2 linked regions of the Tamandua tetradactyla genome follow. Each later gene encodes a partner of the first gene's protein in a complex. Links are inferred from orthologs where the notes say so. Each region holds a gene or a part of one and is shown in the gene's direction. Other genes may lie near its edges. The genes, in order: NHP2 and NOP10.

Region 1 (11,907 bases):
TATGACACAAGAAGTACAAGCAACAAAATAAAATACAGATAAATTGAACATCATAAAAATAAAAAACCTTCGTACATGTTAAGAATGTTCGTGTTTGTATGTTGATATGTCAATAAAAATTTAAAAAAAAACTTTGTACATCAAAGTACATTATCAAGAGAATGAAAAGACATGGAGGATATAGAGAAATTGGAACCCTTGTACATTGTTGATGGGAATGTAAAATGGTGTAGCCACTGTGGAAACCAGTTTGGTGGTTCATCAAAAAGTTAAACATAGAATTACTAAAAGACTTGGAAATTCCACTCGTGGATATATACCTCTAAAGAACTGAAAGCAGGGATCGGACAGATATTTGTACACCAATGTTCATCACTGCATTATATGCCAAGGCCAAATGTGGGAGCAACCCAAGAGACCATCAACAGATGAATGGATAAACAAAATTGGTACATACATAAATAGAATATCATTCAGTCATGAAAAGGAATGAGTAGTGATAAATGCTGCAACATGGATGAACCTTGAAAACATACTTGGTGAAAGAAGTCATTCATAGGACACCATATATCATAAGATCCCATTTTTATGAAATGTCCAGAATAGGCAAATATATAGACAGAGGGTATATTAATGGTTGTTTAGGGCTGAGGGATGGGGGAGTCAAGGGGTGACAGCTAAAGGGTATGATACAGGGTTTCTTTTTATTAAGCTTTTTATTTTGAAATATGTCAAAACTTACAGTAAAGTTACAAAAGTAATACAAGCCCCATAGAGAACTCCAACACACCCCTACTCCACCAGATACCAAGATTCACCAATTTTGACATTTTGTTACATTTGCCATATCATTCTATCTATCTGTCTCTGTCTATCCATCCATTCATCCGTCTACTTGTTCATCAATCCCTTTTCTGAACACTTGAGTGTAGATTACACACGTCATGCTCCTTGAACACTCAATACTACCATGGTCGTTTCCTAAGAACTAGAATATTCACTTATGTAATCACCTGAAATACATTTATCATGTTCAAGAAACTGAGCATCGATATAAAGCTTATAGTCTATATTCCAATTTTTTCATATGTTCCCATGATGTCCCTTTGAGCCCTTTTCCTCCCTTGCTAGGGTCTATCCATGATCCTGTATGGAACTGCCATTGTCTCGTTGCTCTTTTTTTAAGCTGTGGAAACATGTACAAAATAAACTTTCCCATCGTAAACATTCCCAAGCATCCTTTTCAAAGGGACTAAACATATTCACGATATTGTGACAGCCTCACTATTTTCCATTATCAAAACCTTCCTATCTCCCCAAACAGAAACCCTACAGCCATTATGCATTAACACGCATTCCCTCTGGCCTCCCAGCCCTGGAAACCTGTACTTTAATTTCTGTTTCTATGAGCTTGCCTAGTTTCTGTCGTTTTCTTTGTATTTACCATGGTATGTTAGTTTGTAAACTGCTGGAATGCAATATAATGGAAATGGAATGGCTTTAAGAAAGGGAATTTAATAACTTTACAGTTTACAGTTCTGGCCGGGCCACGGTGGCTCAGCAGACAAGAATGTTTGCCTGCTATGCCAGAGGACCCAGGTTCGATTCCTGGTGCCCGCCCATGTAAAAAAAAAAAAAAAAAAGCAATAAGAAGTTTACAGTTCTAAGGAAGTGAAAGCGTCCACATTAAGGCACTAACAAGAGGTTACCTTCACTCAAGAAAGGCTGATGGGTCAGGAACACCTCCGTCAGCTGGGCAGTCACGAGGCTGGCATCTGCTGGTCCCTTGCTCCTGGGCGCCATTGCTTTCAGCCTCTGTTCCTGTGGGGGCTCCTCACTTTGCTTCTCTAGGGCTGGCTTTCATCTCTTGGCTTCCCTTGGCTCTCTCCAGGTTCTAGCTTGCTTAATATCCCATGGTGACGTCTGCTGGGCTCCGAGCATCTCCAAACATCCATGTCACTGTTCTCCAAGTGTCGACATCTATGTCAGCTCTGCTCTGAAGTTTCTGTCGGCTCTGTCATTTCTGTCACCTCTGAAGTTTCTCTCCAAAATGTTTCCCCTTCTAAAGAATTCCGGTAAACTAATCAAGACCCACCTGGAATGGGGAGCATCACATCTCTGTCAAAGTTCACACCCACAATTGGGCATGTCACATCTCCATGGAAATAATCTAATAAAAAGTTAATAACCTATTGAATCAGGATTAAAAGAAACGGCTGCCCTCACAAGATTGGGTCTGGATTATAACATGACTTTTCTGGGGTATATAATAGATACAAACTAGCACACATGGTAGTTTAAATTTAACATTCTAAATCTGCAACAATCACATTTGCTTTGATACCAATTTAACTTCATTAGTGTACACAAACTGTGCTCTTGTGCCCCTCTATACCCTCACGCTTATATAGTTCTTGTCACAAATTGCATGTTATACCATATGAGTCTAAAACCACTGAGTTCTCATTACATGTTATGCCTATACCTTAAAGGTTATGCTCATACCTCTTAAGATCCTGCAGGAAGTAAAAAGGTGAAGTTACTAACCTAAAATCAACAGTAGTGGCATTTCTACTTACCCATGTCATTACCTTCACTGCAGATCTTTATTTCTTCCTGTGCTGTGATCTATTGATCCATTGTTCTTTCCTTCCAGCTCTCATTAGCAGCTTTTAGAGGGTCAGTCTAGTGGCGGCAAACTCCCTCAGCTTTTGTTTCTCTGGGAATGTTTTCATCTCTCCCTCATTTTTTTTCTCTCCCTATTTATTGAAACACAGTTTTGCCAGATATAGACTTCTTGGTTGGCAGTTTTTTGCTCTCAGCACTTTGAATATGTCATCCCACTGCCTTGCTGCTGTCATGGTTTTCATGAGAGATCAGCACTTAATTTTATTGAGACTCCTTTGTATTTGACAAGTTGCTTTTCTCAGCTTTCAGAATTCTCTATCTTTGGCATTTGACTGTTTAATTACATGTGGTATGTGTCTATTTGGGCTTATCCCTATTTGGAGTTCATTGAGCATCTTGGATATGAATATTCATGTTTCTTATTAAATTTGGGAAGTTTCAGCCACTCTTTATTTATTTATTTTTTTTGCATGGGCAGGCACCGGGAATCAAACCCGGGTCTCTGGCATGGCAGGCGAGAACTCTGCCTGCTGAGCCACAGCAGCCCCGCCCTGAGCCACTATTTTTTTTAATATTCTTTCTGCCCCTTTCTCTCCTTTCTTCTTCTGGGATTTTCAAACGCATAAATTGGTATGCTTGATGGTGTCCCACAACTTCCTCATGAGCTGTTCACTTTTCCTCATTCTTTCTGCTCCTCAGACAGGATGACTTCAATTGCCTTATCCTCAAGTTCAGTGACTCTTTCTACTGACAGCTGTTCTTCAACCTCTCTAGCAAATTTTTACCTACTGTTGCTTTTTCATTTTTTTTGCTTTGGAATTGCATGAGAAGAAATGGCCTCTCCCATGACTCTTTGGCCTAATTTTATGTAGGCTTAGCCTATCCTTTGCAGGAATAAGTTTCAAAGGGGCGAACCCCAAGATCGAGGGCTTGGTCTATTGATTTGGTTGTCCCCACTGATTGCAAGAATATCAGAAATTCTCCAAATGGGAAAGTTGAATATTTCCTCCTTTCCTCCCAGTCCCAGAAGGGGACTTTGGAAATATTTCCTTATTCACTGCCCAAATTACTCTGGAATGTATTAGAATATCACATTAACCTGACAAACCAACAAAATCTTACATCCTACTCAAGATTCCATGTACTTATAGTGTTCACCTAAACTGACCAGACAAGTTAAATTAGGTAATGCACTATGACCTAAAATATAAATTTTGTGCCAAATAAACATCTCTCCCTTTGATCCAATGGCTTTTTTTTTGTATGCTATATACCCGGGGTCATATTTCATTCTTTTTCCATGTGTGCATCTCGTTATTGCAGCACCATTTGTTGAATTTTTGTTTGTTTTCTCTTTCTTTCTTTGCTTGTTTGGGAAAGTGCATAAGCCGGGAATCAAACCCGGGTCTCCTGCGTGGCAGGTTCTATGAATCTCAAGTGAGCAATACATTTTAACAATAAAATTGATAAAGTTACACAAGCCATCTTGGAATCAGCATAGGTCACTGAGGCTGGCTTTAGAAATACACAGTGTGGTTTACTGAGGAGACATTTGTTCTTGGTATATCATTGTCTCTTGGTTTAAGATGCTGACACTTGTGACACTTGTAGCCAGGTTGAGGGTCCTTCACTTTCACAGTGGAGCCATGTTTCACATCCTTTGAGCTGAAGTCAAACACCAGTTTACATGGGTGGGGAGAATCTGAGCTTTCAAATAGGTGGACTTGGACTCAAATTCAACTTTTTTTAAAAAAAACTTTTTTTGTGTGAAATATAACATAGATACAAAAAAGCAATAAATTTCAAAGTACATTATATACAAGTTATAAAACAGATTTCAGTTTAGTATGGGTTACCATTCCACAATATTAGGATTTTCTTCCAGCTTCTCCAAGACATGGGAGACTAAAAGAAATATTGATATAATGATTCAGCAATCATACTCATTTGTTAAATCCTATTTTCTCTGTTATAACTCCTCCTCCTTTGATTCTTCTCTCAATCTTTAGGGGTATTTGGGTTATGCCCATTCTAACTTTTTCATGTTGGAAAGGGGGATGGAATGGATAGAGGGATGGAACTATTTAATGTTCTTGGAGGGGCTGGCCCCTCTGGGTTTCAGAATTTACCTGGCCTAGGAACCCATCTGAAGGTTATAGGTATCTGGAAAGCAATTTTAGTGCATGAAACTTTTGTAGAATTTCAGATAGTGTTCTAGTATTCTTTAGGGTTAATAGGAGTGGTTGGGATTTGGGAAGCTTGTGTTAAGAGTAGCCCTCAGAACAGCCTCCTGGCTGTATCAAGTTCAGCTTTGTGTGAGCTGGAACTAGTGACTCACCTCTCTGAGCCTCAGTATATCGTGAATAATAATGGTAGTTTTCATGAGCATTGAATGAGCTATTTTATGTAATGCCCTTGGCACAAAATGTTAATTTCATTCCTCCTTCCCTATAAGACCTGAATGGTCCTCACAGCCGAAGAGGCCAAGGACTCAACAGTATTTGTTTGAATTGGGTTTCTCAGGGATGGATTTCTCTATCACGTCACTGGACAAACAGTCCATATCATGCCCTGTGTGCTGGTTTGAAAGGAAGTGTGCCCCCTAAGAAAAGCCATGTTTTAATATAAGTCTAATTTCATAAGGTAGAATAATCTCTATTCAACACTGTATGTTTGAAACTGTGATTGGATCATCTCCCTGGTTGATGTGATTTAGTCAAGAGTGGTTGTTAAACTGGATTAAGGGATGACATGTCTCCACCCATTTGGGTGGGTCTTGACTGGTTTATTGGAGTCCTATAAAAAAGGAAATATTTCAGAGAATGAGAGATTCAGAGAGAGCAGAGAATGCTGCAGCACCACGAAGTAGAGAGTCCACGAGCCAGTGACCTTTGGAGATGAAGAAGGAAGACACCTCCCGGGGAGCTTCATGAAATAGGAAGCCAGGAGAGAAAGCTGGCAGATGACGCCATATTCGCCATGTGCCCTTCCAGCTGAGAGAGAAGCCCTGACTGTGTTCGCCATGTGCCTTTCCAGATGAGAGACAAACCCTGAACTTCATTGGCCTTCTTGAACCAAGGTATCTTTCCCCAGATGCCTTTGATTGGACATTTCTATAGACTTGGTTTAATTGGGACATTTTTTCGGCCTTAGAACTATAAACTAGCAACTCACTAAATCCCCCCTTTTAAAAGCCGTTCCGTTTCTGGTGTGTTGCATTCTGGCAGCTAGCAAACTAGAACACCCTGTGTGCACACTTGGCAGCACTTATCACCTTTGTGACCATGGTACATTTTCACACCAGATCTACAAGGCTCAAATTGTGTACAAGAAAATCCCTTCGAAACACGAACAGAAAACCGCTATGCAGTTTATCCTGGGAAATGGTAATAGAAAACCACTCCATGGAGCCCTGCCACAAGGCTGGTCTCAGGCCCTGCATTCCACTGGAAAGAGTTGCCCAGGGAGGATCAGAATTGCTGCCACATAGGAGGTAGGAGGACAGGGGAGGGTTTGGGATGAGAAATGGTACTGCAAAATCGTCTCTAGTAAGGTGAAAGTTGGCAGTAACTCAGTGTTTCTAAAGCTCTGGGAGAGGCCTCTCTTCTCATGCAATTTCAAAGCGAAGAAAATGAAAAAGTCCATCTTTAAATTGGACACGTTGGCTTAAATAACCCGCCACCCCCACTGCCACCCACCCACTTCTAAAGTTGTGCTTCCTGACCCCTTATTGCACCACACAAATGAAGGACCTACACCGCATAAGCAAAGGCAATTACTTTGCATCAGTTAATAGCCATCTAGCATTCCACAAGATCAAAGAGATTTATCAGTGATGACGAGATCCACCCTTGGCATCGCGATCCACAGTTCTCCACAGCTACATCCGAACTGGTCTGTCTTCTCAGATCTGCCTCCCTTACCCTATGTTAGCCTCGCGTGCGTTTCGCTCCCAGGGGCCAAGGCTGCACGTCAGCTGCCTTCCCCATCAGCCCCAACTCGGTCTCAGCCCCACTCCTGGGTAAAGGCAGGCAGTGGTAAGAACCAGGAGGAACATACAGGGCTGGGGGATGCTGGTGGGGGGCTGCAGTTTTAGATAACGGGCTCAGACGGGAGCCTCTCCCACGGGGAAATACGTGGGCAGAAGGTGCTGGAAGAGAACGGGCGAGCCGCGGCGCGCTCTGGAGGAAAGAGCTCCAGACCTAGGCGCCAGTGATCCCTTGCTCTGGGTTCTTCCGGAGCTGTGCATCCGGGTTCCTCAGAGAGGGAGCACGTAGGAGAAATGATGCCAAAACGGAAGAACGCGTTAGCAGCGTCGGTCTTCGGCCCTAACGTCCAGCACCTGGGGCGCACCTCCCAGGGCCGTTGGGGAGCCTGTTCTTCCGCCAGGGCCGCCCCCCGGTCGTAGCCACGCCCCCACAGGAACGGCCGCTTCCTTCGGCCACCGTAGCCGCGACGCGGGAACTCTCAGGACGGCGGAAGCCGCGGTCCCTTTCCCTCCTGTCCCATAGGACGCCGGCCCGGCCCGCCTCCCCGCCAAGACTCCAGCCGCTGCCCTAGCTCCGCCACTGAGCGTCAGCGATTGGCCTGCGTCGGAGGTGCTCGCTTCCGATTGGTTGTCGTGGCCTGCCGGCCTCGCGCACCGCGGGCTGACCCGGAAGTGATTCCTTTAGCGGCCCGCCGCGTGGATTCGCCTCCCGACTACCCGGACTGGGCGAGTGCCCCGGCCGCTGCCATGACCAAAATAAAGCCGGATCCCGACCGGCCGGAGGCTCAAGCCGAGGCGTGCGCCGGGGAGCGCACCTACCATGAGCTGCTGGTCAACCTGAACCCCATCGCGCAGCCCCTGGCTTCTCGCCGACTCACGCGGAAGCTCTACAAATGCATAAAGAAAGGTATGCCGGGGTCGGGGTCCGGCCGGGACGCGAGCGAGTCTGGCGGGGCGAGAGCTCCTGGCTGAACCGCCCTGTCATTACAGCCGTGAAGCAGAAGCAGATTCGGCGCGGGGTAAAGGAGGTTCAGAAATTTATCAACAAAGGCGAAAAAGGGTAAGGATTCCCCTCCCCGCCGGATTTGTCAAGTCTAGATAGAGGGAAACCCTTACGGCTTAATAGAAGGATATTCCTAAATCGGTTCTGACTCAGCCCCATATGCAGAAGATAAAGCAGCCGACGAATCCCCTGCAGTACAGATTCCGATAATCACTTATACGAGCTCAAAGGGACAGTGGACTCCGGAGGGAAGCCCGTTGTTGACACGGACTCAGAGTAGACCCCAGCTTCATTCATTCGGCGACTATTTATTGGGCATCCTTTTCTTGTCTGGCACCTGACTGTGGGGATGAAACACTGATCGAATAATCGCATGCACAAAAGTAATTACAAATTGTGATAACCGTGAAGGAAACGTACAGGGTGCAGTGAGAATGACATCATCGCCCTGCTTATCTTACGGCATTTATCAGAACCTGTGGTACTTATTTACATTTTCATTCCCTTCCTTCCCACATAGGACTGCAGGCCCCTTGAAACCAGGGCCTCTTTATCCCCAGTGTCTGACCCAATAGATGCCCAAGATAAAATGCTGTGTGTGTGTGGGGGGGGGGGGGGGAGGGGGTGATGTTCAGATAGGAATCTGCCCTACTTGGGGTTGAGATAGGTGCATCAGCGAGTTTCCCTGACAATTCACATTTGAGCTGAGATCTGAGGACGGGGATTAACCAGTGGTGGGAGGGTTGTTCCAGCAGAAGAGGATTCTGTATAAAAGTCTAGGGCAGGAGAGAGCTGAGGTGGGCAGAGGTCCTATCTTCTCATGAGTCCCTGTAAGCCACAGTCAGGAATTTGGTTCTTGTACTCTGTGCATTAGGTGGACCATTAAAGTGGTACAGCTAGGTAGTACCCTAAGTATGTTTACAGTTCAAGATTTTCCTGGCAACTGAGAAAAGAAAAAATTAGAGAGGCAGGAATAGATGTGAGAAAACTGGAGGCTACTTCAATCCAGAAAAGGTAAGGGTGATTTTGATTAGGCTGGTGATGGGATGCAGATGGTGAGAATTCAGGTAGATGGATTTGAAATAACTTTAGTATATGAAGAGTGAGGAGATAGTGTTTGGTTTTAGACAAGTTTTTGCGGTGCCTTTGAGACAGTAGGCAGATTGTTATATGGGATTGGTTATATGGGAGTGACAGCTGGTCTGGAGAAAACAGATTTGGGGGTTGTCAGTACATAGATGGCACTGATGCCATGGCTGAGGATCACGTCGGCCAGGGAGAAGGTGTTAAGTGACACAGGGCAGTCGGAGACCAGGCTGTGAGGATTACCAACATTTCAAAGGTACTTAAAGGAAGAGAATCCTGCAGAGGAACAGAGCCCAAGAAGCAGAAGGCAAACAGGACACTGAAGCAGTGCTCTGAGCTGGGCTTCTCTCCTGCCTGCCTTTCACCCACCCTTGGAGAACAGATTCTTTCATCTGTCTTCAGGGCTCCGGAGGTCCTTGGCCCAGAGCCCAACCTGGCCAGCTAGGAACCCTAGCTGAGGATTCTCAGACAAGCCTTTAGTGGTGTCCTGGCACTCAAGGCCGTTGGTATGGCGCCTGCCTGCTGTCTAGCATTCTTGGCTACTGCCCACCTCATCCCCATCCTGGATTTCAAAGCCATCCAGGCTGCCAGCAGCCTCCATGCTGTATCGTACCATTCTGCTTCTCTTCGCCTTAATGTCTTCCTCGCACTCTGCATCCCCCATGAGCTGCCTGCCATTCATTCGTTCAGCCTTGGTTCAAGTGCTGGCCCCTGGCTGAAGCCTTGTCTGACTTTCCAAAGAGAATTACTTACTCCTTTGTGCCCCTGCCATACTCTGTCACTTTACCACTTGTCACACTTGGTGGCATTTACTTGTTGCCATGTCACCTCCCACTGAATCAGTGGGTCTTAGGTCAGACCTAAACTATTTCTTAGGTTAGAGATACATTTGAATCTGTAGTTAAAAAATAGAGATCATCTCCCCCAGAATGCACTCACCCAAACACACTGTTTTTCTCCCACTTTCGAGGACTGTAGACATCCCCATTAATGACTATGGGTTCCTTGAGGACAGAGGCACTTTATTCTGAGCTGTAACCCCAAGGCCCAACCCAGAGGCAGCACTGAAGGGCTGAAAAAAGAGCAGGCTAGAAATGACAGTGTTTTCTTTCTTCTCAGGATCATGGTTTTGGCAGGAGACACACTGCCCATTGAGGTATTCTGCCATCTCCCGGTGATGTGTGAGGACCGGGATATGCCCTACGTCTACATTCCCTCCAAGACGGTGAGAAGCACAGCACCCTCCAACGTTTGTTGGCACTGGGAGGGGGTCTGGGACCTGGACTGTGGCACTAGGCTATTGTGGAAAAGGACACAAGCTCTGGAGTCAGGAGAGTTCTGGATCAGTGCTTGGCTCTGCTGCTGCTTAGTTGTGGAACCGAAAATAAGTTACCTTCCTGCACTTTAGTTTCCTCCTCATAAAATCAGAATCTATTCCTGTGTGGACTGTGAGACTGAAAACCAGTAGACTCGAGTGTGTATGCTTTCCAAATTAAAATGTGGCACAAGTGTGAGCCCTGTTAGGTGTTTCAGTATTTTGGGAAGCTGCAGCTGTCCTTATCTTTACGTAGCAGGGCCAGAGCTGGAGTGCCGCAGAGTTAGGGGTGGTGGGGACTGGAGAACATAGGCTCTGCCCTATGGAGATGTGACTTGAAAATTTGCTGAGTTTAAAAAGTGGCAACCAATTCAAAATGCTTTTGAGCATAATACGGACCCAGTAGGACAATTTGGGCCATATTAGGCCTGGGGTCATCAGTTGTGACTTCTGGTGTACAGGCTGTGCGGCATTTCCCCCAGCCTTTCTCTCCCCGTTCTCTGTAGGACCTGGGGGCGGCCGCTGGCTCCAAGCGCCCCACCTGTGTGATCATGGTCAAGCCCCACGAGGACTACCAGGAGGCCTACGATGAGTGCCTCGAGGAGGTCCAGGCCCTGCCCCCGCCCCTGTGAGACTCGGGCAACCACCTGTGAACCTGCTCTGGAAGCGGTGGGACTGGCGGCTGGCCAGCTGGCTGCCCTCTTTGCTGCCCACATGCACAGCGTTTCCACAGTCCCCTGAGGCATTTTTTCTTCCCAGGCAGCTCCAGCAGCTAATTCATGAAGGTAAAAGCCAGCATCTTTTCCATCGCTGCCATTTCCTGTTGAGCTTAAATGAAGACCATTCCAAGAATTTGGTGTGGGGGAAGTAAATGCTAAGACTAAAATGTGGTGAGTGTGTGGGTGTTTTTAAGCAGCAGCTGCTGGGGGTACCAAGGAGTTGGTGGGCAGCAAAGAGCGGAAGCAGACTTTCTTGCCAGAGAACCCTAAGCATTTTGAGACTGTCAAGACCTGGCCATCTAAACTGGTGCTTGGACTCAACTGGGAGATGGACTTTTTGCTGCCCACCCCAGAGCTTTCAGCCTGTACTTCCAGAGCAGGTGGGATCTCACAGCTGCAAGATAAGGCAGTACAAACCAGACCCCATTTCTTTGAAGCCTGCAGCCGTTATGTCTTGGGAACACCCCCATTCAGTTTTTCTTCTTTCCCCAGGAGCTACCATTGTGAAACAAGGAAACAATTTGCCTACCCACACAGTAAAATTTAACCCCAGGCCAGCTCTCTTGTTTAGCATAATAGCCCCTGGCCCCATGTCTTCACACATTTCAAATCTAAGGTTTAACTTCCCTTCTCATTGTCAAAGATCTAATGTAGGACACAGGACACACAGGGACCCAGCTTCAAGCCCCCTGGGATAAATTTGGGCTTGAGGGTCAGAAGGGATTTAGATTTCAAGCAGCTCTCTCCTTTACAAGCTGTGAGCCTTGCTGTGTAAGTCATTTCATCTTCCTAAATCCTCTTACACTGATTGATAACATGGAGGTAATAAGATTTATATATATAAATATATATATATACACACACACATAAAGCCTCTGGCCCAGGGTCTGACATTTCCCACATTTTCCCTGCAAGCCTCTGTCCTTATCTGGTGTGTGTCCCATGGAATTATGCCTTCGTTGCAGGATTTTTCCCCAACCAGAGATGGCGAGTTGGATTCCTGGGCACTGGCATGCTCCAAGCGGCAGCAGTAGTGGCCACTACTTGCCAGGTGCTGTATGTGGCAGACACATAGTAATTGTCAAGTGAAGCTTAAGGCAGACCAGGAGAGGTTAAGGAGAAGGGCTTTGAATATATTTGCTCAAAGTTATAAAACAATGTTATTCAG
Region 2 (10,058 bases), on another chromosome or scaffold:
ATCCGGTCAAAGTTGCTGGTGCGCTCCCACTCCTGCACAGCTCTTGGCAGTCCCTCCTCCAGGGTCATGGTGGGCTTCAGCCGGGCCAGGGAACGAAGTACTGGGCTAAAACCCCCATCAGGTCAGTTATATTCTAAAAGCAAACCCTCCCATCCACCTGTTTGGCACCTACTTCAACACATATCCCCTGTTCCTCATCAAATCTAATGTGCCCCTCTGTCTCTGTCACATCCTGCTTCCAAATTGCACTTCTAGACTACCCAACCTCCTAGCCATTCATTTTACCTTACTCCTCTCTTCCAGCTGAAATTTACAAATTTCACACAAAAATAAAACAGATGATTCTTATCACCATCTTTTGAAATCAACCACTATTACCATCCCCAATTCTCAGTGCTGTCTTCAACTAAACATTAGGAAGAAAGCACTAGTGCTATTAAATTAATGGGATTCACCATAAAGTAAGCTTAACCCTGTCCAGAGGCTCTTGAATTTATAAAAAAAAAAAAAAAGGGCACTCACAAATCCAAAAGAATCTCTAATTATTGAAAATTGTGTGGTATTTTTTTTTTCATTGCTTTTTAAGTGTTTTTGCCTCCTAGGTAATCCTTACAGTCAAATATCAATACTAGATCCCCTCCCTCACCCCCACTTCTGGAAGGTTACCCTGATCCAGAAGCCAGGGCCCAGGATCAAGAGCCCAAGGCTAAAGTGAGGACTCCGGTTTTGACTCTTTCTTCCCTTTGAGTCCTCAAATATTGCCCATCAGAATCACCTGGGGAAGTTAACTACAAGTTATGGATTCCAGCATTCCACTCACAAGAATCTAGAACTGAAAGCTGGGTAGTGGCTACCCAAGTGACTCTCCTGCAGAGGGTCTGGACTACGCTTTGGGAGGAGACCCTGCTCCAAAGGTCTTGTGTGTGGAGAGCATGAGTAGACCAGGGTCAAAGGTAAATGGCTCTAGCCCCTTGAAGAGCAGTGTGGTGGTTCCAAAGGAGGCTAAGGGTGGAGTTGCCATTTGATCCTGAAACCAGTTGCTCAGTATATACCTGGAGGAACTGAATGTGGGGACTCAAATGGACATTTGCACACTGGTGTTTCTGGTGGCAGTGTTCAGGATCCACAATGCATGGAGGTAGTCTAAGGATACGACCACTAAGAAATGGAACAGGTAACTATGGTATATACATACAATGGACTGCTGAGCTGCAGCAAGAAGGAATGAAGTTGTCAGGCATGCAACTAGTTATATGAACCTTAAGGACTATATGTTGAATGAAATGTCAGGAACAAAAAGATGAATATTATCATGCCTCAATAATACAAACTAAGTATAATATAAAAACTCATTGAACTGAAATATGTATGTAGTATGTGTTATATGGTGATTTTAACACAAAATGTTAAAGAGGACACAGTGCAGAGTTGAGAGAGGTAGAGGGTCTGGTGGGAAGAAGAGAAAACTCCCCAGATAACTAATGACTGCTTTATAAGCACAACAGACAGCCCATGACCCCAGATTCCTTGGCTAGCATCCACTCAAACCCTTAAGGCAAGGATATTTTGGACTTTTGTGAGTTCATTTCCTCTTTTAGGTTGCCTTATAATGATGATGATAACTATGACTACCATTTAATGGGGACTTCTCTTCTGTCAGACACTGCTAAGCATTCTAGGTATATTAGCTCATTTAATCTCAGCAACCCTCTGGGGTTAATTAATTAATTAATTAACTCCTTTTTAGATAAGAAAACTGAGTATCAATGACATTAAATGTCCTGCCCAGATAAGCATGCTCCCACTTCCCTATTTCAACTTGAATTCTCAATAAAATGGCAGGGCAATAAAATGGAAGCAGGGCACACCAAGTTTCTTTTTGTTCCTGACATTTCATTCAACATATAGTCCTTAAGGTTCATATAACTAGTTGCATGCCTGACAACTTCATTCCTTCTTGCTGCAGCTCAGCAGTCCATTGTATGTATATACCATAGTTACCTGTTCCATTTCTTAGTGGTCGTATCCTTAGACTACCTCCATGCATTGTGGATCCTGAACACTGCCACCAGAAACACCAGTGTGCAAATGTCCATTTGAGTCCCCACATTCAGTTTGAGCCTATACAGTCCATTGCCTCCCACAGGAAAGGCCAGCACTCCTTGTCCTGGCTGGCAGTGAGACTCGACTCAAATATTAGAAGGTAGTAAGAAAATGGGAGGATTATGGCACTTGGGGTCAGAGACCTAAGTTGAAATCATAGCTCCTGTCTTTATGACAGGAAACCTTTCTGAGTGTGGTTATCTGTAATAGAAGCGTATATTTAAAATGCCTGCCTGAATTCACAGTGTTGAAAAGATCACTTGAGAAAAGACACCTAAAAGCCTGTTATAAACTGGGAAGTGGATTAAGAAGTGTATCATCATTATCATGCTTTTATCTTCTTAGGATCTCCAGGGCCTTCATGACTTGCCTTCAATTATTCCTAAATAGCCTAACCATCCCAAAGTTCTCCCTATGTAAAAGCCCTGGATTAATCAATCTCAGGTCTCCCCACTTACATAAGAAAGCAGGAAAGAGCTTCTGCATCGGGACTTTGGGATAGATGCTTCCGGGCCAAAGCTTTGTAGCGCTGCCAGCGTCGGAAGTTCTCATAAACACCCTTGGAGGTATAGGAAAGGTCACTCAGTGAGGGCTTGGATCGGGTGGCCACAGGGCTTCCTTCCCCAGGAGACCCATACGGCCCTGGGCAAACCTCCTGTAGGACAGTGGGGGATAGCTGGACAGCTGGTGGTGGCGCCTGAAGAGGAAGGCTCGAGGGCCCCTCTTGGCTCACCCCGGAAGCCTTAGCAGGCAGAATGGTCTTCACATTAGAGGCCGTCAGGAATCTCGGTGAAGGACCCTCAGAACCTCCACAAGGAGCTCCTGGGGCAATCCAATTGAGGGCCGTCGTCGGAGTAAGGATCAAGTTCTGAGTTGGAGGAGGCTCAACTGCTCCCCCTTCTGTCTTTACTTTGACAATGACCTTGCCAGTCCCAGCCCCACTAGGGCCAGGGCCCTCATCCCCTGCCACCAACAGTGGGCTGGGGAAAGCAGAGAGCACAAGAGGGTTGCCTGGAGAGAATGCTGAAGGCATGGGGGGCTGTGGGGGAGGCTCCCAGGGTGGTTGCTCTGGTGGGCCAGGTGGAGGTGGAGGAAAAGGAAGTGCAGTGAAAGGGGACATAGTGGAGCCAGGTTTCATGGTCATATCCGGTCCAGGCAATGAAGATGCTGTTGAGACAAAGAAAAAGAGGGAATGGGGTCTGAGAAAGGAGACCAGAAGTTAGGTCACTTGGGTCTCTTTTTACTCACTGAAGAACTAGACCACTAGATCCTTAACAGGTGAGGGAGGGGATATGACTGAGAACTAGAGTAGTTTGCAACTGTCCTCCCCTCCCCAGGTGATTTTGATATTCCTTACTCCCAATTGTGAATGAGTGCACTGGAGAAGTTACTCCCTTTCCAACAAGACTCCCCAATCCATGTCTTCCAAAAAGAGACAAGCCCATGCTCCTGGAAAGCCTCTCCAAGAAAATTCCTGGCAGACTTCCACTGACAGCCCCATAGGGAACAGGGTTGACACCTATTCTGCAGGAAAAGACCCCATAGCAGGCTCATAAGCAGAAAAGGGACCTTGTCCAGCTCCTTTAGGAACCCACAGAGGCAGTTTCAAAAAGATTATTGGACCCATCTCCCCCTCTGTCTTCTTATAAAATCTCTTTTCTTTCTTTCCTAACCTAAAACAACAGAAGAAAGATGCAAACTATTAGCAGGAGCAATGACCCTAGGATCCGTGACACTCACACCCATGACACTTCCCACGAGCAAACATGGACATCCCCTATTCCCAACCATGTCAAACAAATTCAAACCACCTAAACCCTGCTCTCAGTTGCTCTGTAGTCACTGCCACAACTCACAGAAGCCCTGTCCCCAGGACCAAGTGTGTGGATTAGATGTTTGGTTCCCAGAAATTCTGTTATATAATAGCCAGGAATGACTACAGAAGATTAGATAAGTACCAGGAAATGGGTGAAGGGTGGGAGATGTAGGGAGGTTTCCAGAGCTGCCAGACGTGTTAAAAATTTGGCGCTGCAGACTGCCTTGCAGTCCTTCTGCTTTGAAATCCTAAAACCAGAAATTTAGGAGTCACTCAGAACAAGACTGTGAGCTGGTTGCTTAGAGAAGGATAATTGAAGTCTGGAACACAATTCTTGCTCACGAGTTGCTTGTGTGGATTCTAGTTAAGGGGACTAAGGATAAACAAAAGGTGCTTAATTAATTAGGACGTGTCTCCTAGGACTTTAAATAACAATAATAGAAGATAATCTGCCTAAATTCATACTAATCCCCCCACCCCACCCTGCTCTTATAAAGAGCATTCCTCTGGCAAACTGACAACACTCAGCTTCTACTTCCTGGCCTTGAAGGAGACATGGAATATAAGCAAATTAGTCATCTCAACAGCAGCGCAGAAGGCCACAAGTATGGCCGAAAGTACTGAACAAAATGAAATTGGTCTGAAGGCCTGAGTCCCACAAAACATAAAATCAAAGCTTTCTTCCCAGTTGGAGTTAACCACCACCTCCCTGGGCCCTGATGAATCAAGGAAAACTGCTATACAGAAAGAAAAGCCATCTCTGGGGCTGGAAGTTGCTGTGAAGCTCTGAGCCCTGGCAGTTAGAGTACTTTCCAGCCTAGCTTTCAGGAAAATGTTTCCCTGCAGGCTTGGCAACAGATGAGACACTGAACTGTTTTTTTGACTAAAATCATCCCCCAACCCTATCTTCTCTCCCTCTTCCCTTTATAAGATGAAGAGTGACCTCATCTCAGTTCTCTCAGGGCAAAATGCTAGAGCAGGCACCTAAAGAAAAAGACTTAAGAACTTGGGCCTTCCCCTTGAAACCCTTCTGGGCCCCTCCCACCACATACCTCTGCCCCTGCTGCACAAACACACATTGATGTGGTCCCCCTCCTAGAGAATCCAGTTCCTAATTGCCAGCCTTTCTCTACCTAGCCTACTTCCTCTGAGGTGTCCTAATCTACCCCTAAGGAGCCCTCTTCCTTCCCCAAACTCCAGTCTGAATTGTTCAGTCTCCCTCCCCAGCCTCCCCCAGGTGTGATGCCTTTGGTGGGGTCCACAGGTCTCCTCCCTCTAGGCCAGCCCAAAGAGCTTGCTGTCAGACAAAAGTGTCAAATGGGAATCCCCAAGGGTCTGAGTAGGTGGCAGGAGAGTAGGTGGCAGGAACCCTCCCTATCTGACACCCACTGACTTACCTCCATCTGAAGCTATCCTCTCAGATTTGGGCACCAACTGTGGCTGTCTGGAAGCCTCCAGGACCCAGAGAATAAGCTGGCTTAGAAGGTACCAGGGATCCAAGAAAGGGAAGGTAAAGATCGAATCAAAATAGAACTAGAATCTAGGACTCAAGGCATTCTGCAGTGGGGGAGGGGAGGCTTGGAATAGGGGGTACGGATGAGGGGAATATTCCACGAAGGACTCTGAAAAATAGGCACTAACTGAGTTTGGTAACAAACTAGGGTTTGGCAGCACAATTGGCATGTACCTCTTTAGGGCAATTTGAAAATACTTTCTCAAATTCCCAACACAACAGTTTTACCTCTATTTACTTCAATTCTTCACCAATATATCTAGTTTTGCCTCTTCAGCCCCACCCAGTTCAAGAGTAACTGACTTCCTCTTAATAACAGGTTGTTGGTAGACCCTTGACTTAATTCAATGATGGCTGTATTTTCTAAACGAAGTTCAGACCACATAGTCTGCATACTGAATCAAGGCGACTGAATATTTGAAATTCAGATTGTCTCAGAAGATCCAGGATAGTTGATTGCTATATGCCTATCACTTACTCGCAAAGTTGTCCTGCAGCCCTCAAATGGTCTACTACCATAAGCTTGGCAGTCCACATCAGGCCAGCCTTACCAGTCATCCCTTCTGCCGAAAAGCCCCACCACATAAAAAAACTGCCATGTAGCCTAAAAGTTCTAGACCAGAAAGTTCTTCTTTTTGTTTGTTAAATTATTTTCTTGTTGTTAAATACTTAATTAAAAAAAATAATTTTAATTGAATTGTTTTAAATAAATGGTTCCATGCGAACCTTGAACAACCGTGCTGGCTCAAGATTAAAAAATTCAGCCTCCCAGCTTCTAAGAGACAACTCAGGGTTGTTTCCAGAAAACAGGGAATCAGTAAGATGACATAAAATGAGGACTTCAGGGAAGCCCTTTGTTTATTTACTCCTGGCTAAATAGGTAAATACATTAGCATGGTTCAAAAGTCAAACTGCAAAACAGAATATACAGCAACAAGTTTTCTTCCTGTAACAGAGTTCTTCATCCCAGAGGAAACCAATATTACCTTTTTCTTATGGACCCTTGCCGAGGCATTTTGTGCAAATGCAAGCTATATTCTTTTTTTTTTTTTAAAGCTCTCAGGTTTTTGTGGTTATAAATTAATAATATGTTTCAGTGTTTTTGCATTATAGATATTGCTGCAATAATCATTTTTGTAATGCTATCTTGGTTCTAATTTCATTTGTTTAAGCTACAGCCCCATAAAGAAAATTTCTACGTTCCTTTAAAATTCAAAATGCCACTAGAAGTGTTTCTTTTATGCTATCATTAGTTACTCACCACTATAAGAAAAAGCGCTGAAAATGCGGGAAAGAGACCTGAGTTTGAATCCTGGTTCGACCACTAAAACATACTTCACCAGTTTCATAAAATAACTTCACGCTCTCTCCGCTGTGCAGAATATTGAATACCCATCATGCACTCTTTACCGCCAATAGTTTGAAAAGGGGCGGGGAACCGGATGCAAAAGCGGGGAGGGGGAAAAATTATTTTAAGGTAAAGGGGTACTGAATCCCAGAGTCCTTTTCTCTCCTGGTGTTAGACACCCACCGCCCCTCAAATGGGTGGGCATCGTAAAACAAAGACAGAATTCTATTCATTAATGTTCAACCCACGTTCACTCCCACCCCCATCTAACGCCTAGCAGTGCCTGGCACACAGTGGGTACACTCCACGCATCAAGGCATGTAAGGTTACAACTGCAGGCCCCCAGGCCAAATCCTGCGATAGAGCGCCCCCTTCTGGTCAGCTGAAGAAAATGCCAAAAATGGACTACAATTCCCGTCATGGCTTGAGACAGACTTCCGGCTATACCGGAAGGACGTTGTGAGCACGTGAGGTGGTGGGACAGGCAGAGGCGCAGATAAGCGTGCGGACGGAAGTGGTGTCTCTGCTTGAAGCGTGGTCATGTTTCTCCACTTTTACCTCAATGAGCAGGGAGACCGGGTCTATACGCTGAAGGTGAGGAGAGGATACTGCGAGAAATGGGGGGCAGGGGGCGGCGGCGGGCGGACGAGACCGGCTAGGTTTGGAGATCCAGAAATGCCGGAACCGAGGCGTGTAGACGCAGGGTTGTGCCGCTTCTTGAACAGACCGTCGCGTCTCCTAACCCTTTGCTTGCGCCTTATCGCGTTCCCACCCGCACCCCCTATTCCAGCCTCAGTCAACCTTATGACGCCAGTAATTGAGTTTGCCCCTCACTCCGGTGCTGAGATCGTGTTTTCTCTTCCCTTCTCGAGCAGAAGCTTGACCCAATGGGACAACAGACCTGCTCAGCCCATCCTGCCCGCTTCTCCCCAGACGACAAATACTCGCGACACCGAATCACCATCAAGAAACGCTTCAAGGTGCTCATGACCCAGCAACCGCGCCCTGTCCTCTGAGGGTCCCTCATATTTCATGTCTCTTCGGTCTCCTGCTACCCCTCGGAGTCTTTCTTTAAATAAGCTCTTCAGTCTGTGAATCTTGAAGCCCTGTTTTATTACCACCCTTGGTCTTTGGAATCTAGTCGCATTGCCTTTGATCATGCTTGTGTGAGGCAATCATGTTAGCATCTCCTATAAAGGAAACAAGTTTGAATCTTTTCATTTTGTGAACTACTGTTGGGTTATTAAAGACAGAATGATTTAAAAGAGCTCTCATTTTGTGTGTTGTGGGAGAAAAGAGTTGGTAAACAAAAAAAACGAGGGAGATGAAGGGGGAAATGTCCCAGAGCATGGCAATAAGATCACTTGTAAGAAAAACTCAGTCGCTGCTGTAGCAGCGAGTAGTGATGTGCTGTTGTTGATCGGAGTGCGTCGGGAAAGGGGAAGAAAGGTTGAGAAAGACCTTCACAACTGTCTATATTCACTGAAAAATACCCATGTTGTCATTCCTTGTGCCCCCTAGCAATGACATTTTGACTCAAAATGGAAGAGTTTATTGAAAAAGAATAGCAACCATATTGTAGAGGAAGGCCAGTGGATTGGAAGTCAGGAGATGAAGGTTTTCCCCTATTTGTGCAACTTGAAGAATTTGGTGCTATTTTTCACATCATTTCAACGTTCTCTTCCAGCTCTAAAATTGAGAGGATTTAGTGAGTCTTTCTTTTCAGTATATCTGTAGTGTTTGTCCAAACTTTATGAATAGTAGTGCCCACATGCATATTTTCTCTCTGGAAATATTCCCAGAACTTTAGGTCTCTAATCAATTCTCTTTTTACACAAACCTAATTTTGCATTCTTTCTGGCAGCTACTATGTGGAACTCTTCATGAACTTTAATTTAGGAGATGAGGTGAGGTATGAGAGGTTCAAGAAAGAACTTGAAATCTTTTAGGACCTGAGCTTCTATCATGGAGCAATAATAAATGACTTTCAATCCAATTACTTCATATTAAGAGGGTGCAGAAAAATACTGTATCCAGGCACTCAAGAAATGCTAGGTTGCTTCTTCCTCTCATTGTCAAGTTAATCAACCCCTATTTCTCAGTTGTGTTACTTGGCTTTTGACGTTGGATTTGAATGTGCCTGCTCAGTGCCATTGGTTTAAAAATTGCTTTTTGGAGAACATATTCTAATTCAGCAATCTTTTCCTACTTTGTCAAAATTAGCAGAAGTAACTCAAATCAGCACAAATGTCATTTATAAAGACTACAATGGAAAGGGATAGATAACATTTCGCTTGGCCCATGTTGTCTGACCATCCTAGCAGAAAAGTTGAGGACAGTTGTTGACTGCTGAGAAAGAAGGAAGTCTCTGGACTTGGATCATAATCAACGGAGAAAGATGATTTTTAAATTAATTACTTAAACTTACAAAAATGTTGAAATGAGATAGTTTCCTTTTGAGCAATTAATTTTTTTTTTATTTTAGCCTAGTCACTTTCAAAAAGTTCTTAACATTGGGTAGAAAGGATGTTAAGGAGTTATCCTAACCTATTAAGAGAGTAATGATTGGTGAAATATTTAAAGTTATACGAGTAACAAGAAAAAGGGCCTGATGCTAAAAGTTTCTTTTTCTTAAGAGTGGGTAAATGAACTCTACTGTTATTTTTTAATGTTGACTGCAATGCTGATTTTTTTCTTAAAAAAAAAAAAATAGCATTGTTCCCCATGGAACCTGCAACATAGACTGAAATTAGACCCTGGGCTGGAAATGTTCCTAGTTGAAGTAGAGGAGAAAAGGCAAACTGTTGTGCAGTAATGAGAACTTTTTCCTTCGGTATTAACATCTCCTGGGACATAAACTTATAGAGCTTGATGAGTGCTCAAAGACAAGAGAGGAATCTTAAGAGTTATAGTATATTAGCATTACGTAGGATATATAAGTAAATGTAAGTACACTGTGATAAAAAAAAAATTGGTGATGTAAAATCCAGCATTTCTTAACAAAGGAAAGTCTGTGGGTTTCCAGTGAAAAACAGGCCTGCCTGAGTTAAAAATATCCCTTGGGGAGATGGATTTCTTGCTGTATCTGTAAGAAAGCTAGGAACCTGAATCAAGTACCACAGGCTTTATAAAGGTTCAGGCTTCAGGAGCTGCACATTTTTTCCTCATTTTGTTACCTGGGTCTTTTAAAATGGACTTTGGACTTTGTGTACCACTTGATGAAAAGGGGTTTTCCTGGCTTGGGTCTTTACAGTTCTGAACCAATTTTTAAAGATGCG

What was found.
Region 2: NHP2 (region 1) and NOP10 share a complex: the UniProt entries of both Homo sapiens proteins name them as parts of the H/ACA small nucleolar ribonucleoprotein (H/ACA snoRNP) complex. The link is inferred for Tamandua tetradactyla from reciprocal best matches to the Homo sapiens genes NHP2 and NOP10.

What each region holds. Positions count from the first base shown.
Region 1 is NC_135346.1:59,723,696-59,735,602, reverse strand, and holds the start of NHP2 (H/ACA ribonucleoprotein complex subunit 2), read left to right. Parts: upstream 1-7,284; 5' UTR 7,285-7,363; coding exon 7,364-7,523; intron 7,524-7,606; coding exon 7,607-7,676; intron 7,677-9,824; coding exon 9,825-9,930; intron 9,931-10,481; coding exon of another isoform or gene 10,482-10,526; coding exon 10,527-10,652; 3' UTR 10,653-11,907. UniProt on the Homo sapiens protein: Required for ribosome biogenesis and telomere maintenance. Part of the H/ACA small nucleolar ribonucleoprotein (H/ACA snoRNP) complex, which catalyzes pseudouridylation of rRNA.
Region 2 is NC_135340.1:45,694,021-45,704,078, forward strand, and holds NOP10 (H/ACA ribonucleoprotein complex subunit 3), read left to right. Parts: upstream 1-7,242; 5' UTR 7,243-7,320; coding exon 7,321-7,374; intron 7,375-7,655; coding exon 7,656-7,796; 3' UTR 7,797-8,045; downstream 8,046-10,058. Other genes in the region: NUTM1 (NUT family member 1), read right to left, coding at 1-105, 2,562-3,270, 5,317-5,392, 6,694-6,756, 7,029-7,046. UniProt on the Homo sapiens protein: Required for ribosome biogenesis and telomere maintenance. Part of the H/ACA small nucleolar ribonucleoprotein (H/ACA snoRNP) complex, which catalyzes pseudouridylation of rRNA.